Linked DNA regions of Neodiprion lecontei. The protein of the gene in region 3 interacts with the protein of the main gene of each other region in a pairwise test. Links are inferred from orthologs where the notes say so. Each region holds a gene or a part of one and is shown on either strand. Other genes may lie near its edges.

Region 1 (6,392 bases), on a different chromosome or scaffold from region 3:
CAAAACATGGCATCGAACAAAATTACATTATTGTTTACATTGCAATAACAATGCTTTCTGTTAATGGATTTTAATGAAAGAAACATTGAGATGAAACGCGAACTGTATACTCTTAATTGAGACAAATCCCAGTTGAATTGAATATTCAGTTGTTGGACCATGAATTACCGAAATTCGCCCACTTTTTCAGCCACCTACTCGTATATTTCTCCTTAAGTTTGAAATATTTTCAGAAATATGATAACACTACAAGTTACATCAAACATGGAAATATTCGTCATACGAATTGTCAAATCCAGTTCCTTGACACGGCGAATTTGCCAGTATCTCCAGCGTTTTCAAGTTGGACAGAAAATCTTGAAAGGACTTCAACTCCTCTGGATATTGCAAAGTCGCTTTGTTATCACCTGTCGAAATCTGAAAGAAAAAACGCAAATTATTGAGTAAACTTGCATGATTTAGATTTGAAGGAAAAATTAGCACATTTTTACCTTCATTTCCATGTTCCCATCAATCAGGAGGTTTAAATCTGGTTGGCCGGTTAGAGATAAGTGGCATAAGTGAAGTCCTTCGCCAACAAATATATATGCCCACCCCTTGGGCAGGCGAAATTTATCCAAGTCAAATTTCAGTCTTTCCGTGCTGTACGGTAAACTCGAATCTTCTTGACATATTTCAATACTATTCTCTAGTGTTTGTTGAGGTAACTCTTCCATAGTCTTTGTTACGAGGCTTTTATGGTCTTTGCTAAATTCCTCAAATATGTTCTCATCATCAGATTGAACTTGTTCATTCATCAAATCATCTTCAGTAAAATTTTCATTGAAGTTAGTCAAACAAGTGTGCTCTGTTTCCACTTTTGTTATTTTTATTAGTGACAAGTTCGTATCGTTCTCCTTTAAAATTTGCTTCTCCACACTTGTAGCTCTGTCCTCAGCATCCTAAATATTTATTAATACATATGCATATACTAGAAAAGAAATCACGAGTATGTACGCTACTATAACTTTATCCGTTGAACCAAATTTAGGGACTGTACCTCTGAACGTTTGATTACAAAAGCAGATGGTATAGCGCCAAGTTTTAACTTGTATCTACCACGTTCTATCCTGTGAATAGTTCCGTCAGGCATTTTAGTTTGATAACATTTTTCGACGTCGCTATCATGGAAGTGAAGTTCGCAAACTGAGTCATTTGCAGATAACGTTCGGTCATCGCGAGCCAAGGCGGCATTCCACTTGTTCCGCAGCTCTTCGCACTGTGATGTAGAAGAATATGTTTTTCGTTACAGAAAGTGATAAGTTCCTAATGTTTATGCAACGCAAATATATCATTTCCAAAATTTTTGAATAGCCCATAATTCATATATTGCTGAAGGAAACAAGCATTCGCTTACCCGTGGTGTACTAAACAAAGTTCTTCTCCTTTTTCCTCTAGAAGTGCTTTCTCTGTTTTCAGATGCGTAGCCACTCGAGCATCCGCGGACGAAACATTTTCGCGTCATTCTCGGTAACTCATATTAAAAACGCGCTCGTATAAACGTATATAAAAGCGAAAATATGTGCGACAGATGCTTACCAAACTTTCGTCACCTCCACTTTGTTTCCCTGCTGGTTAACTACTGTGGCCACATAGTGTATCGCAGTGCTGCCAGGCGAGGACAACGGCAACTATGTCCATTTTATCCCGTTTTTAGCTGGTTACACTGGGTGCCCACCGACTGCGATTTCCCTTGTTTTTAACTTAAGGCTGGGATTCCATGGGCAGGAAAAAGGAGCAGCAATAGCAGCAATTCACTAAAAGTTACCAGCACTTGCGGCGCAAGTTTTTGATGTTTGAAATTCATCATTAAACCAGCAAACGCAAGAAATTTTATGAGCAGAACTGCTGCTGCGTCAAATCACTAGACAGATATTAGTAACATCTAGTATTAGATACTAAACTGCTGCTTATTTCTGCCAATGAAATCCCAGCTTAATAGCAAAGGTAAAATTTAAACTGCACTTTGTGCGCACTGAGTGCGATTTACCCAGTTTTTGGCCAACAGAAAAACCGAAATCCTAGGGAAAATGAATTCATAGCGTTTTCCACTGGTTGCACTGAGTGTGAACTGAGAGCGCACTAACGGTAGACTCGTATTTCCAGCGTGTTCCACTGGCAGCTCGAGTGCGTGAATTTAGCACTGAATGCGTAAAATATTGCCCTGAATTGCAATTATGGCTGCCGATCGTGAAAGAGTCGAAGTAGATGCTGTGACAGCAACTCTTTTATTAGATCTAATTTAATCTTCGTCTAGCAGTGATGATGCCTGCTGGAGTCGAAAGATAGAGGAGAGATTCCCAAAATTTTTAACTTCATAGGAGTAATCCACAGCATGTCCGATATCGAAGTATGGATACACATTTTTTCAGCTTCTAGAAGTTAACTGCTAGGTATATTTCAGGAAATTGGGACAACTTGACTTGCTGCTTATTAATTTTTATATTTTCAAGTCAAGTCAAGTAACGTCACATTATTTCTGATTTGATATGATCCCATTGATAGACAATTCATCTTACGCTATGTCTAAAAATCCCTAGAACTCGGTTAGCAAGTTTGTTACCAAATTCACCCGAAGAAGAGAACCGAACACCGAAAAAGGGTTGTAGCCGTGCCCTTGACACTCACCACTGCTCGTATACTAAAAAATTGTACGCGTTTTGTCCCCATTTTTTAGTTCCGCTACCTGGCGCTAATAGACTTCTGATACGCACGCTGCCCTCGTTGACTGCGCGCAAGCCGTCAGACAACTACTAGCGCCACTAGTGGTGGAGATTGGCGGCAGAATCGAGGGACATTTTGCGAACCACTTTTAGCAGCTTGTGTAAGGGGCTGGTTGTAGCCCACTGAAACTACTTACATCTCAGTGTTGTAGCCACCCAAAGCGAAGAGCCGCGGGAGGATAAATCGTGTGTGTCGTGTTGAGTGCTACGCCGTGAAGCCGGTTGTTTAATCCGCGATCGTTCAGGTAATTGTACTATGCTTTTATTTTGTACAAGTATACATTTCGCATGACAAAAATCCGGCCACAGAACTGAAACGTCGAGCATAACCTCCCAATAACGCGTCAATCAAGTCTCCGTACCGCTGTCCAAGCCAACGAGAGTACGCGTCGTCATTTAGCGTATCACAAATTAACGACAGTCGAATTTCGCGACGAGTTTGTGTCTATCGGAGATCATTCGTATCGTACTGATCTCGTTTTCTGTCCCCGAAAGCTTTCACCTTATCTGGACGCCTCTTACAATAATCTATATTATTATTATTGTTATCGTGGATCTTGCGCTGTATTAGTTTTCTACGACTGTACGAGTTGAGAATAGTAAACAATGGTCTCTATTATTAATCTGGGCACTTTGTTGAATCGATCGTTTACAAAATTACAGATCATAATGGCAGATTCTGATGACGAGTACGATAGAAAGAGGAGGGACAAATTCAGAGGCGAAAGAACCGAGTCATACTCCAGAGAAGGAAGACGTGGCGATGATCGTCGCCGAGATGAGTGGGTTGACAGGTACGTGCAAATCTTTTACTCTAAGTGAAGTTCTTTTAGGTTCAGCTCTGCGAAGACAATTTCAGATGCTTCATTAAAAACACTGTCCAAGCAGCAGTCCAGGCATTAACAACATTTTTGTAACAACAGATTTGCTAGAAAATATAATATATTGCAACAGCAGTATTGTCTGAAATTTGGTAAACTGTAACGAAGTTATACCATACCCTTAATTTATATTTTGGAAACTGAATTTATTCGAAATAGTTCCAAAGATGCAGATGCCTGATTTTTCTTAAATGTTTCATCACATTATCGTTACTAAGTTCAAGGTCATTAATAAATCTAAATAGATGAGAGAACAATCCCGTATGCTGAATAATTTATATGTCGAATCAAGGATTAATTACTTGGGTTGTTTAAATGAAATTTCGGAAAAGAGTTAAAACTGTTTAGAAGATATTGTGTTCACTATCAATTGCCCAAATAATACTGCGGAGGATCTTCTAAACTACTTTTCCTTTCTTTCCTTTGTTCCTAAATTTTCGATTCAGACGGTGGAACCCATTGACCCTTAACATTGTGCTTTTATCAATTTAGATTTTGTATCGTGTATGCTACAAATCTCTCGTCTATAGGTTTTATAAGAAACCTGTAACAATCAGAGAGTTTAGCATGATAAAAAAAAATGTAACAACCCTTAGCTTCAAAATGAAGTTTGAAGGAGTTGAATTTCAAAGATACAAATTTGCCAAAACAGTATGATATGCAGATTTTCTGGATTTCAGACACTTCAGAAAGTTAATAGACAACGAGTATTTTTGATATTCCGCCATTACGATAACTTCGCAAATTTTAACGTCATACTCAATTGTATTCATTAATTCTTCCTCTTCTATCAAGCCTTGCACTTGTATTTTCAAGACAACATTTTATACCAAATGCACCCTTGTATTAAAAATTTTGATTTCTGTTCCCAGGGAATGGTCGAGTCGTCCAAGAGCGAGGCCCGAGTACCGTGAGTATCGAGGTGGCGGGGGAGGCGGAGGTCGAGAGCGATACAGCCCAGCTCGATCCCAGGAAATGGCTCCGCCGATGAAGCGGATGCGGGCTGACTGGGAAGACCGTCCGCGTTACGGGGGCCACGATTATTATGGTGGCGGAACTTCCTGGGGTCCAGATCATTACACGCCGGCACACCATAGCAACCATCACTACGGCAACCATTCAAACAACAACAGGTGAGCTTGTCTGTTTTTTCTCTTCAAATGCCCATTGTTACTTTTATCACAAATAGCTGCATCTGCTAACGATCGATGAGAATAAGGTTCCGTGGTCATTTTATTTTGTCATTTACATTAATTATTGTCTCGCTGTAATTAACCATGAAGAGATTATATGACGATAATAGAGTTTTGTCCGCTCTTATTTCGCACGGCATGTTGCCAAAGCGCAGCAGATTCACGCCTAGACTTTTGGCCAGGATGAGGTAGGTATTCATTATTTTTTCTTGATATTACGCAAAATTGTTGGAGTTTGTAGCTCTAACAATGAAGATTTTTGAAAACCTCGAAGTTGTTGAGATTTCTTAAGCTTTCCTTTGACTTAATAAACACTTAAATGTTGAGCGAATACAATGAAGGGATAGAATAAGTCTTGAATTTGACAATGATGTACAGAAGAAGTGGCGTTCATGGTTAAAATTTTGAAAATAATCCTAACCAAGAATGCTGCATTTAAAACGTAGTGATTATTTGCAGTGTTAATATAAAAAAAAAAATTGAGGTATAGTGTGGATGTATATGGATATTAACAATCGAATAAACTTGAGAAAAGTGCGCATTGACGTTGAAGTTTTTCTAAAAATAGTGATCAAAAGCGACGATGCCCGATCTAACATTCTTGGCGTGCATGTACACGAGTTGTGGCCCCCTCGTACTCAAATAAGTTCAAAGCACAAACGATATAAACACTTTAGACCGCAGACGATAACACACGATCCACGTTATGTTTGCATACAGGATTGCCGCTTTTGGCGCTGTCAAAAGCACTACACATATCAAGGATATACTCCGTTCCATGAGAAAAAATTGTTTTTTTTATACTTATTGTTATTGTGTAGCAAATTTCATTACGTATTTGTGCAACTGAGAAATATTTCAACATTAATTTTAATTTTAAACTCTGGTAAATAAATAACACCCCGAGGATTTTCGTTTAATTTACAAAGTTGCACGGGAGCCACCTTAAATAAAATCTTTCTGAATCCTCAGAATCCATTTCAATGAAAAATCAATCAAAATTGTTTTAAAACGTTTGAATAATATGTGTTATTATCGAAAATGGACTTGGTAACAATAACATAACAAAACATTGGTACTGAATTTACCATTTTACGCTAATTTCGAATGATTTTTGAAAAAAAGTTTCCACCATTACTACTTATGTGCATCATAAGATTCTAATGAATCTAATTAATATCGGGGAGTGAAATCTCTTGAAGTCCTTGAAGTAGTTAATACTTTGATAGATCTTTCAAAATCAGCAGTAAATCACATGAAATCGTTTGACATCCTCTTGAAAATGTCTTCATTACATAAATGTTTATTTATGTATTCATATCGACGGGACGGGTCCAATTACATAATATATATACTAAAATAATCCAGGCCTTTAGTTGCCGTTAATAGTATTACAACGATAGGCATGATGCTTTAAATTCTAGATACAACTTGGGAAAGCCTCAGTTATGTTGAAATATGCATTTAGATTTCGTCTTAATGTGGTAAAAATTAGGATTATAAGTGTCAAGTCGATCCGTATATTTATTGCACATACTCGCAAGTCGCTCGCATGG
Region 2 (6,392 bases), on a different chromosome or scaffold from region 3:
TGTTAGATACACGTATGACACTGCATGACAAAATGCACAATAAGGCGAATGGTACATCACTACTACATCCTAAAAAGAGAAATTAGCGATTACTAATGTTTTCTAGTAATTAAGTGTGGTGATATTTAAAAATGTCCATCCTACCTTGTCAGGGTTCATAACAGTATTCAAAAATGTATCGGTTGTTAACTCTGGAACACAGATTACAGAGTTTTCGCTGACACTGCATTCCTGCTGTGTTTTAGAACTCTTTACTGATTCCAAACGGCTATGTGAGCATAAATATCGTTTTAATGAATTCTCGGTATAATTGTTTATGAATTGTACAAGCGAGTTATAGCTCACAGCTTGCTCCAAAATGTATTGGCTCTCTTGCTGAAAAACACAAAATAATTTTTCTAAACTAAGATCGATTTATCTACATTATTGTAACATTCATAGATTAACATACCAGAGGGTCTACAATAGCCACAGCAGTTTTATCTTTCTTTATTGCAACATCAATGCCCAGCCCCTCAGCAATATGAAAGAACTGTAGGCTATCAACAGCTATCAAAGCCAATGTTTTGTTAGTCTTGCATATAGAAGATGTTAAATTAATTTTCTGATGATCGCGAGGTAAGTTTTTCGGAAATACTGGTGGGTGATAATTATTCCCAGTTAGTAAGTGTCTGCATTCATCTTTTAGAATGTAATCAGACAAAGCATTTGGAGTTTGCAAGTCATTTTCTTCTGTTAAAGTAGAAGTTTCGAGATCTTCCATCATGTCATAGTTTTCACAACAAAATTCGTTTTTTTCGTGTTCCTCTCCCTCTTTTGTCGGTATGTTAAAGACATCTGTTGGCTTACAGCTGTGATGAAAGCTGTTCAAATTTGCGGCACATACCGCATCCTCATTTTTAAGCAACACAGAGGTTGTCTTCTTGCACATTAAACACTTGTTAGTTAAAATTTGAGAACAACAGCTGCTGTTTATCCACTGTCGGTCGGTAATACTCATTTTTGGAACCAGTTGTTGAACCCTGTTTCTATCTAAAAGGCGCATACACTGCTTACTTTTTTCATAATGCTTTGCTTTCTCCCTGGGACGAACAGACTCCAGGTGGTTCACTATGTTTTTGATCATCAAGTTGTCGCCGCAATTATAATACTGTACTCCAATTGCTTTCAACTGGAAAAATCATGGCAGGAGAATTTATGAAACAAATGTTAATGATGAAAAAAGAACAGTTTGTGTGATATAAAATTCAAGCTTCAGTTATCCTTAAAATATTTACCAAATTATAGTAGTAGTTATATTGATGAAATGGGTTCCTGGGTGTAAATAGAAACAATACTGGTCCATCCTTCAAATATGGCGCTAGTGTGAGAGACTTGGTGCCTGGGGGTTGCAGCCAAAGAGTAGCTTGATGCAGTGCTCCGCCAATCCACTTCAGTAAACTATCAGATTTCCATTCATTTTCCACAGGATAACTCTGTACAATGAATATTTTATCGTAGCACAATGTTCAACAGATGAATCAAAGGCAAAATCTTATATTTATATATTTTCAAGCTAAACTTGCTCGTACCAATGACTCGTTCCAAAGTAGCAACCTAGCAGAAGGAAACTCCGTAACTCCGTAATTAGATTCTGCAGAAGTGTCAGTAACCACTGCGAATGCTAACTCTTTGTTAGGATCTCTTTCTAGTGATTTAATTGCCGTTTTGTAAAAGACATTGTATCCCGGTGAGTTTTTCAGTCCGATAAAATTAAAGTAACCTATCACCACGGCCTAGAACATAAGGTTTTGTGATAATTTCACATATATGTGGAGATAACTTAAGTGATAATAACAATAAACATGTAGAGGTCGCAACCCAGATTGAACAGAAAGAGAGAGAGAGAGAGAGAGAGGGACAGAGGGAGAAACGTAATCAAACCTACGTCATAGTCTACAATCAGGTTCAGGAGCTGATTTCTGTCTGTTATTCTGAATATTGGGTTCATAAATGCGTGGAGGAAGCGTATCATGTACGGTGCAGTACGAATACCTCTGTACTGAACACCAGGTCCTCGCCTAGGATAGAGCATAAAAACTGGGTAGCTCTGAATCTTGCTGTATTCAGCCCGGCATTCTGAACCCGGGTGCCAGCAATTAATGGCTGCAAAAAATATCTGAAAATTAACAAATTAAAGTTAGTGTGGTTTCCACAAGTTTTTGTAGTAATGTCAAAGGCAAGAAGCAATAATTGAATAACGATTTATGTATAGAACTTAGTAAATGAATTAATGAGAACCTGTTTGTGGTAAAAACGTGCCACAGTTTCAAACTCTTGTCTAACGGCTTGACTCTCGGCATCCCATGGTGCGTAGTACATAACAAAACTGAGATCTGCATCTGTGACTCTTTCAATAGCGGCGCCTAAATGACCTTTGTAAAAATCCAAAACAAGCGAGCTTTGGTTAAAGAATGGCCGAGCTGAAGGAGGTTGTGACACTTTTGGTGGCCTGTAAATACATTCAAAGTTGAGAATTCGCTATTAAACTAGTTGTTTATCAGATACGTTATACATGTATTTAATCAACTAAAAAAATCTATGAGAGATCATGTTTTACAATTAAATGCAGTCAAGGTTTCATTTGATGTTTTTGAAAGTAATATTTGAGAATTTTACCGGTTTTTATTGAACATTGATTTCTATAGTTTGACTCCGCTTGCAAGTAACGATATTTGACACTTCCTAAATTTGATTCGGATCATACATATTCAAAAATATCAGTAATAGAACGCCGTTGTAAAATAGTGTTGTTAAAGAATATCCAAAGGTAAAATGAATGTTGAAAAATAATTTCTTCTACAATGTAATTCATGATATTGGCATTTGATTTTTTTTACAATATGCTAGATGATTAAAAAACGTAGAATTATTGAGGTGAGTTGGCGGATAACCTTAACTATTTTTAAAAAACTTACGAAGTGTGAAGAGCAGCTAAGGTGGTGAATAATATTGCAGCAAAGAAACATAATTCTTTGCCATAGTGTAACATTTTCGAGGCTAATCGTTCTTCTAGTGCGGAGCTCGTTGCGAGTGATGTTTGGACCACGTTATCACTTCCTGAATCATTGGTCGGCCGCAAATTATCACCATTTCTTTGCGGACTTGTGTCGCGTTCTCCACTGGTCATTATCCTCGAAATTAAGGAAATAACGAAGGTCCGACGGGGGGATGATTGCCGTCAAATTTTCGTCACGTATCGCGTCATCACTCGGGCCTACTTATCTTTTCATGGGGATTATATTAACTGAATTACAAACGATTAATAAACTCGCGCCCCAAGGTCCACACATATGTCACCTGTGCTCCATCTTTTTCTCCCCGGTGAACAGCTGACCGCTTAAATCCACTCGTCTTAAACGACATTAGTGTACAAGTATCGAAATTTCATCTCCAATTAAATTGAACTTATAGAATGTCCTTATACATTTTCAGGGTTATTACAATACGTCTGCTTCCGAATCGCACGTGGCTTATTTTTTATAAATAACGTTTTGACTTGAATCGGCTGCTAAACTGTCATGGAATTTTTTGATACTCTGCAGTTGGCACCCTGCACATCTTTCCGCTATATCTAGGGATATCCTGACGTGGACCAATGAAAAGCCGCGACGCCGAGTTTCTGGATATCCCCATGTCGTACATCTCATGAGCTTTAACTCTGGCGTCGATGCAACGCGTGTCTTCCATTTGTCTGCTCCTAACCTAGTTCAAATTGGAGCGGCGAAGATAGAAAACGAATTGAAATGCAAAACCAATTGGAAACTACGGAGGAAGAGGAGTGCGTTTTGAGACCGATGAACTGTGAATTAAATCAGCTGAGCAGACCGGATGGTTCGGCAATGTTTATGCAAGGTAACTAATTCGTGTGAACGGTCGTTTGTTTTCATAGCGTGAGTTCCCATTTATTTTGTTTATTTTTTATGTTAGCTATCATCACATAAACATCCAGATTTTACATACCTAGTTTCCTAGATTCACATATTCCAATTTTTCAAATTTATTGCACGGCTCTTTTGTGGTATCTAATATGTACATACCATAATTCTGAACTGATGGTGTTTTCAAATGATCGATTCCAGGTGACACCGTCGTTGTTGCCGGAGTTTATGGACCAATTGAAGCGAAGCTACAAAAGATGATGCACGACAGAGCGACCGTTGAAACAATGTTTAGTCCTGCAAAAGGACCACCGTGTAAGTATTTCTTGACTGCCGACAATCCTGATATTTTGATTATAGCTCTTTAACAGATTATTTCGCTTGTTACGTGATTTAACATTTTGATAATTATTCTGTATTTTAAGGTGTCGACGACAGAGCGAAGGAAACTGTCATCAGGGAAACGTGCGAGGCTGTACTGCTGACTGCGTTGCACCCTGGCATGGCAATAAGCATAAATGTACAAGAACTGCAGGATTCTGGAGGAGTTGGTATTTTTATTGATTAAGTGTTGTACAATACAATTCTATCACTTCACTTTATCGGTTCATTACAAAACAATCGATTCCACTTTACTTCCACTTTTCGTTGTGTCTTTTATTAAAAGAGATAATACTCACGTGTTACGTACAATTTTGCAGTTACTCGCCTGTGCCATTAATGCTGCTTGCCTGGCGCTCATAATCTCCAGTATTTCTATGAAATTCACTGTCGCTGCTGTATCCTGCATGATTGACCGCGAGTCCGGCAAACTGATTGTAGATCCTGATAGCACGCAAATACAGGTTTCTAAAACTTATATTTATATATTTGAAATATTTCAAGTAAAATTCATATTCTTTCACACATTTATAAGTATTAAATGCTATTGGTATTTTCTTTTTTTGCCCAGTTTGAACTATTTGGAAATAATCTAACTTTCTACAACTAGAACCTTAGGTTGAATTTTCAAGTAAAGCCTTAATCGCTAATTTTGATCAAATTGTTTTTGTGCTCTGTCAACAAATTTTAAGGAGAGACGAGAAAGATCACAACTTTCTTCATGTATTGTCCTTTATATGTTTCTAAATGTTAATCAGAGCAGAAATGACAAACCAGCGAATTTTGTCTAATTTTACTTTCTGAGTCTCAGAACACCTAGTTGAGTCAATTTCGTAATTCAAAAGTGTGGTATTTGTTTTAAATATTACCTTCATGTATAAATATTTCCTTTAATCCGAACTTTATGGAGTTATAATTTTGAAGTATGAGCATTAGTTTTGAAGGACGCTGGGCCTAAAACAACAAAAAATGACGTATTATTATTGTTACTTTGTTTCAATTCCTTTCAATTACTTATCATACGTAATTCTAATATATTTGATAATAATTGAAAATTGCAGCAGGCACGGGTCACGTTCACGTATGTTTTCGAGGGTATAAAAAAGGACTTGGTGTCTTGCCACACAACTGGTCGATTCTCGGAGAACGAGCTGATGGAATCTCTAGAAAAGTGTCGAGCAGCAAGCCAGAACATCTTCGATTTTTATAGAAACATAGTTGAACAATACGCGATTAAATTATGAGCATATTTGCATGCGATAAATTTATCGACGTCGAATTCGCACCCGTAAATTGCTGAAAAATCCAATGATTCAATTCTATAACTAGCACTTTACGTATATTTCCGAGCAGTGGGAGATCGATTGTATGTATATAAAAATAATTAGGCGGTGGTATACTCGATCCGTTTCGAGCTGAGGAATTTAATAACACCGGTTAAAACGGCCTCCGCGGTGCAGGTGATTCGGTACAGCGAAATAGCGATCGTAACTTTGATTCCATTAAATACAATAAGGCTACCAGGAATACTGACTGAACTACGTTTAGCCGCGAGGTTTCCCCCCGGGGGCCCGAAGCTGCGGCGCAGTCTTGCTGACCATTAACAAGAAGCGAAGCAATTTATGGTACGGTTCGCTCATTCCCACTTTATTATTTCTCGTCGTAGCTGAGTAGATGTTTCTCTGCTGCAGTCGCCGGTTTCGTTTTGCTTACCGAACAGCCAGATACAGCGTCAGCTTACAGACATCCTGGCGAGATGCTTCGCATCGAAATTCTGCAAACCTTTCTCATCTTGAGGCTTCCTCATTAACGTGATTTGAATGTGTGTATATATATATATACATTTATTTTAAGCCTGAAGATAATTGATGACGTTCATGTGCGTCGATGTCATATATTTCATAATAAACTGTTTTTCACTTTAACAATGAGATTCCCTTTGTTCCACTACGTTAAATGGCATTTTGAATTTCAGGGTTTCGTAAAATATTTTAACGCAAAATTGCATCTTGGACTGACAAGACTCTGACTTGATATAGTTAAGAAATGAGCTTTCATCGGTTTTTTTTTTATCTTCCGCGAGAAATAATT
Region 3 (6,392 bases):
CAAGTTAGAGCAAGTGATTTAACGCTAACTCGAAACATTTTGTCAGGTATCAATTGACCAGGAATTCCAGTCAGCAGAAACGACGACACCAAGTATCGACAACAATATTTTAGTGGTACGTCCGCGTCAGTGAACATTCCTATGTCACATTCGTGATATAGAACTCCGGACGATGTTCTATGCAAAGATGTTACGGACGATGATACCTCGTCCAAGTACTCGTCTTCTTTAGATTGTAAACTCGGCAAACTAAGATCAGGCGAACGCTCCGCCTTCCCAATATCACTTCCAGTGTCGCTCTCTTCCTCGATTCCCTCACCTTGAAGTAATATTCTAACTTCAACATGCATTACATAAGAAACACACAAATGTATGAGATTATATTATCATGCTACGAACATCATTTTTATTCCTACATCGCCAGCACAATCGCTGTTTTAGTTGTGTCTATTAAATCGTTATAATCTTACTGTCAAGAGATCCGATGATCAGGCTGCTGTAATTCTCCAAAGACTTTTCCTTTTTCCCTATGACTTGATTGGTGTCGGCTTGTTTGATATGGGGTCGTTGAATCACTGGTAATACATTCTCCGAATCAACAATCCATTTCTCTACGGTTGGTTTAATTTCAGGAATATCTGGATCGAAAAGATTTAATGTCGAATCCAAATTTCTTCCAGATATTGTTACATTGGAACCACTCATCGGTCCCAAAGAAAGGCGGGCTGTATTTTCATTCATTGCTATCCTGCTCCGTGTAATCCCTTGACAGGAAACCAAGATCGGAACCAATTCTTTTAAAGGGAATTGTAGTAATTGAGCCAAGGTCTCCAACGCTGCATTGACGACATTGTGATCGGAATGCCACCTGGCAAAGTGTAGACATAGCTCATACACCTGTATAAAGCTATGAAGGGGGACGTCAGGTTGGCTCAAATTTGATGTTTCATCAATATGAGGTATTATTATCCTTAGACAGCCAAATACTCCAATTACCGTTGTAACACGGTCTTCGTCATCAGTTATTGGCACAAGAGTATCTAATCAAGAGATAAGTAAGTTCCGTTTAGGATTCTGAGAGGGTAAACTTCCTAACAATTAATAATATCCTTATTTTGATACAACACAGATGAAAATACAAGGTTCAAATTTGTAGCGCTAATGTAACAGCGTATCAAAGGTAAAAAGTTTAGTTGTTTCAACAACCAAAGGCTGAAGGAATGATTGTGGTTGTTAAATTGTCTCTCTGTGTATTTGTTACATTAGCATTCCAAATTTTAAACTCATGGCCTCAAAGGTTCATAGACTATGTAGCATAGAATGCTACAGTTTGATCTAGAAGCGAAAGTGTCACACGCAAATTAGGTGATTAAAAAATCTTCCTCACCTATCATATACTGTAAAACGTGCAATAAGAAAGCCTGAGGATTTCGAGAGTTCAAGCAAGTCGTAAGAATCATATTAGCTGCTGTTCTGCGGAATACAGCCTGTGTTGAAGGTATGTTTTGACAGAATGCATTGAGTAGAGTCTGAAAATTATAATTATCATGAAAACCAAATGTTCAACGGGACAATTTAACATCCTGTCGGCCTCATAGCATATACCGAAGCCAATTTCGCAAATAAAGCGATGTCTAATCTACTGGAAGATAAGCATACTCTGAAATTGGGTGACAATTCAAAATATTGATGTGAAAAGAGGCTCGCCATTGTGTTTAATACGGGTTCAAACACATGAGCTACAGCACCATATAGATTGTGTGTTATATGAATGGGAGATGAATCGCCGATTATTAATTGCACAGCAATCGCGTTTATTGATTATTTTATTCTGTGACGAGAGTCTAGATTTTTTTTTCTAAAATTTGCTAAGGCTAAATGTGAGTAAAGAACACACTCATTTAAATATGGCGTAGTATCCAGATGAACAAATTTCGTATTTTGTTTCAATTTATTTACCTTCACATTGCTATCTGTTGTAAAATTCCCCAGAGTTTTCAAAATCAATGGTAAAGAATTGGCTAGTGTCTCGATAACAGATTCTTCGGAACGCTGAGCAATAGCTACAATGCAAGGTATCAGATTTGCCACGTAAGCCTTTCCTTTCAGCGGCCGGATCATGTGCCCCAGCTGCGCGAACCTCCATAGTGCAGTTCTTAATGTTCGGGCAGTACCGTTCTTTTTTATTTCGCAATATAACACGATTTGTACCTTCACTATGTTGCCATCTGTCATAGCCTGACAATAAGAAGAACTATTATCAAATAGAAGCAGAATTAATTCGTTATATACTTAGCCTCGGTGCCTAGCAAATTCAGTAATTTCTTGTAGTTTTTATCATTAATTTTCAGTCGTTTTCACCATTGGGCAAGAAAGTTTGTAAAAATACTGCACAATGCAACTGGATAATATGCAAAATCTTCGATAACAGCATTATTCATTTTGCAATAACTTATTCTTCAAATTCCTTAACTTCCTCTTAGAATTTTAAAACCTTATGTATACCGTACAATGCAAAATTAAATTTAATCGTTTTTTAAATTCTACTGCAAGATTCCAGTAAAATATAATAATCCTGACTAACTTGATCAAAGGACTATTCCACTTCTTCTATCATAATCAACAACTGATGGAGATTTTATGAACCTGAATTTTTATTATAAAATGTAATAAATGGAATGACGTGAGTCATTATAAAATTCACATTTACAATGAAATGTAAACAATCATTGAATTTCAGAACCTTTTACTTTATTCATCTAATATTTATGTTTAATGCTAACAATTGAAATCATTGTCATTACAGTTAATTTCAAAACTCTGTATAGGGATCAGCCTGCATAATTACTTTCTTTATCATTTAGACAACGTTATGCCAAAATCAACTGACTACCCCTAACTGTTCTCTCAACTTTTACCAGTTATTCCGAATGAGCTGGACACTATGTTGATGTTAGAGGGTGACAGAATCATTCAACTAATTGTCAAAGTCTGAAATGCATGTATCCCATAGAGCCTAAAAATATTTAAAGGCAAATATGGGAAGCAAAATATGGTTTGGGGTCTGTACATTTTGCCTAAAGTATGACAAGTATTTTAAAGATGCTTCAAAGTTGAAAGATGGTACAACTTAATGATGTATCCCCTGAATATGTTTACATCGAATGTATACTAAAATTTTCAGCATACCCCTCGTATTATCCTGTTCAAGCATTCGTCGGCAACCATTCTGACATCTGATTCCGAGTCATCACAAAGCATTAGCAGCGTCTCTATAGCGACGTTAAGAACTTGAGAAAATTTTGGAGTGAGTCTAGCGGCAGAAGAGCATATGCCGTCTGCCACAGTAGTGCAGTACGCGATTTTTTCTTTTTTTCTGTAAACAATAAGGACATTTGTCATTTTGGTTGACATAACCTCGTTGGAAGATGAAATCTCAATTCAAACTCCAATACTTCTAATCGCATGTAAGCATATCTGTGACGCGAAAATCAATATAGAAGTTTACATAAAAGACGTATATACGGACGGGTGTACAGTAGGTATGCATTTTACGTGCATGAAGTGCGCTTGAAAACGCTGAATAGTGCTTATTTTTTAAAGTCATATAATGAAAATACCTGGCGGCACAATCGTGGGAAGTATCTTGAAGTTGCAAATTTTTCAATGTATCCACCGCTTTGAGTATTCCGTTAATCGTAGCCATGGTTGTCAATGGATATTTTATGCGTTATTATACGTAGATATTTATCATTCGTCAAGCACATCCGCTGTTAATCACTAACATATTGGAAATAATTCATATACTTGTGATCTACCTTAAAATGCTAAACATAACAACAGCCGACATTAATGTGACAGGTGCCACAATCATACACATAGGCATAAAACTGGCCATGGAGACTAGAGTAAAGGAATCCGAACGCATATGGCGGAATCGTCGAAAAGTGGTTCGTGAAAGCGATGAAAGAGCTTGTAGTTCGGGATGTATCCGCAAGAGATACCAGCGCCTGGTTACGAATAAAGGGTATGTTCCGATATACACTGCGAGCACTGTAAGGTGTGTCGTCAATTTAGTATACTGCGAAGCCGTTCCTGTATAGTTAGCTATACTGGTTACTGCTTAAAACGGAACGCAGTACAGTATACTGTGATCGACATTTTTTGGCGTTACTTTCATTTCATACATAATATTTGTTTCACATTGCAATAAACACAATTTATTCAAATTTTCCATTTTTGTTTTTAACGGCCGATATTTTTAAATGACAATATTCAATAATAATAATTATCAATAGTGGAAGCTGTTAAATTTCTGAACGCTGTTGATCACGTCATCAAAGCACTGAGAGCACCTTACCTCGAAAGCACCAGTGTTCACAGTAGAAAAATGGCGACGATTTATGACGTCATATATTTCCCTAGGATACTGCGACTGTATACTGTCAGTCTATAACGGAACGAATTTCTCCCCAGTAAGAGCACTGAACAGTGCTCGCAGTGTATATCGGAACATACCCAGAATACATACGTGAGGATCGACGATTCAAAATCACCGCGCTGCCGAAGCCCGCAGTGGTAGCGCTACCAGGCGGTTACAATCCGCGGATCGTTCATCAGTTTCACCGACCATTTGGCTAGCATTCCGTTCGGACTCCTTATCTCTAGTCTCCATAACTATGGCCATAATTGATGCATGAAAGTCATGAATGTATTGATATCAAGAGAACGAACTTGGCAATCTATTTGTTGCCGTTCTACCCAGCAATGAACATAGGTATAAACTTGGATGCCGCGCGTGCCCTCGAGGCGTTATTAGACACTTCCTTGGAAATCTTACTGACTTTGTAAAGGTTGATGTTTTGTACATTGTTACGTTTCATTTCCAAAATTGGTATGGATGCTATTGGACTAAATGGTTTAATTATTAAAATGATGTATTCATCATTTTACCTATTGGATTGATATTCAATTGTTTTGCCCAACAGAATCATCCGGTGAATTGATTTATCTACAGTGGTTTAGTGTCGTGTCCCTGATATACTCTCTAGGTGGCGCTCTGTATTGTTCCACATTACAGATCTACTTTCGGAAAGGATTCTATAGTTCATGCTGGATAATTTGTATCACGGTCTTACATACAGGTCTTGCGACTCTGAGTTTCGACGTGGGCCTCTTAACGTGTCAAGCCGCTAGCGTCGCTGCGATCGAGGGATGCCCGGTGCGACAAGGACACGGTCTTGACCGTGTTGTGAACGAAACACAATACGGAACACGCACGTCAATCGTCAAAGGCTTACTCAAACATTGTAGGTTATGTTGATGCATCCCTCGATCGCAGCTCCATCTGGATTTTTCTTCAATAGAGGAGCCACTCTCTACCATTGGAATTCTATTGAGTCGCAAGACCTGTATGTAAGACCGTGGGTCTGGCAATTCAGTCAAAATTTCAGTGGTGGGGGTGTCCTCTTATTGAAGCACCGATCGTTTCGCCTAGTGACCACGAGTGTCGCTGCAATAGAGAGATGCAGGCTGTGTGAGAGAGACGGAAACAGGTTTGACCTGTCGCGTACGGAGCCTCCGGAACCGTAAACACCACTGATCTCTACTGTGTATAGTACACTGATCTCTATGTAGGGTGTGTTCGGAAATTGACAGAAAGTACTGTCAGTACTGAAAATGGTATAGTCCAAGTGACGTCTACTGTAGATTTTCAGTACTGACAGTACGGTCAGTCGAATTCCGAACACGCCCTAAGTAGGCCTCTTCCTCACTAGCGCTAGCGGCGAAAATTCACAACATCGGTTTCATTTTCGAGCACGGAGTTACAGCCGGAGTACCCTGGAGTACCCAGACGTGTCTATAAGGCCGTGTTCGAAAATTGACTGACAGTACTGTCAGCAATTTTTCATCTCTTTTGCGCTTCCAAGTTCATGAATAGCTTTGACTCTGTCGTAGGGAATTTTCAGTACTGTCAGTCAATTTACGAACACGATCTAAGACCATGGTCGGAACCTTAGATGTTGCCAAGGTTGCGGCTAAAAATGAAACTAGAATCCCACTAACTTCTACTATTAGGACGCGATCATCTCACAAGTAGAGGGAGTCGAACCGGTCCAACCCACTGATATATATATACACTGGATTGGATTTAAGCGTGGTGCCGTCACGCCAATTGAACGGTAGCCATTTTGTACAGATTCTTGTCACTTCAGATATATATAAATATATACGTGATATATGTATGTGTATATAATCGATTGTGTTGGAAAATTACAGTAACAATTATTGAGGTAACAATGAGTACCTGCGTTTTTTGCAAAACAAAGCAATCAAAATATTGTGGGCGATCATTTCACAAGTGAGTATACAACGCTGAAGCGTTCTGCAAA

What was found.
Region 1: the proteins of huntingtin (region 3) and serrate RNA effector molecule homolog interact in binary tests that used the Homo sapiens proteins (3 or more experiments, as listed by UniProt). The link is inferred for Neodiprion lecontei from reciprocal best matches to the Homo sapiens genes HTT and SRRT.
Region 2: the proteins of huntingtin (region 3) and thioredoxin domain-containing protein 11 interact in binary tests that used the Homo sapiens proteins (3 or more experiments, as listed by UniProt). The link is inferred for Neodiprion lecontei from reciprocal best matches to the Homo sapiens genes HTT and TXNDC11.

What each region holds. Positions count from the first base shown.
Region 1 is NC_060264.1:19,006,167-19,012,558, forward strand, and holds the start of serrate RNA effector molecule homolog, read left to right. Parts: upstream 1-2,850; 5' UTR 2,851-3,007; intron 3,008-3,425; 5' UTR 3,426-3,431; coding exon 3,432-3,556; intron 3,557-4,515; coding exon 4,516-4,776; intron 4,777-6,392. Other genes in the region: uncharacterized protein LOC124294542, read right to left, coding at 284-417, 492-941, 1,040-1,258, 1,397-1,504. UniProt on the Homo sapiens protein: Acts as a mediator between the cap-binding complex (CBC) and the primary microRNAs (miRNAs) processing machinery during cell proliferation.
Region 2 is NC_060261.1:41,969,677-41,976,068, forward strand, and holds the start of thioredoxin domain-containing protein 11, read right to left. Parts: upstream 3,550-6,392; 5' UTR 3,170-3,549; coding exon 2,958-3,169; intron 2,492-2,957; coding exon 2,281-2,491; intron 2,159-2,280; coding exon 1,928-2,158; intron 1,776-1,927; coding exon 1,572-1,775; intron 1,476-1,571; coding exon 1,278-1,475; intron 1,172-1,277; coding exon 452-1,171; intron 376-451; coding exon 145-375; intron 70-144; coding exon 1-69. Other genes in the region: exosome complex component RRP46, read left to right, coding at 3,786-3,894, 4,122-4,235, 4,346-4,467, 4,622-4,765, 5,363-5,545. UniProt on the Homo sapiens protein: May act as a redox regulator involved in DUOX proteins folding. The interaction with DUOX1 and DUOX2 suggest that it belongs to a multiprotein complex constituting the thyroid H(2)O(2) generating system.
Region 3 is NC_060262.1:8,088,633-8,095,024, reverse strand, and holds the start of huntingtin, read right to left. Parts: upstream 3,915-6,392; 5' UTR 3,707-3,914; coding exon 3,621-3,706; intron 3,377-3,620; coding exon 3,190-3,376; intron 2,255-3,189; exon of another isoform or gene 2,239-2,254; coding exon 1,960-2,238; intron 1,530-1,959; coding exon 1,388-1,529; intron 1,041-1,387; coding exon 471-1,040; intron 320-470; coding exon 1-319.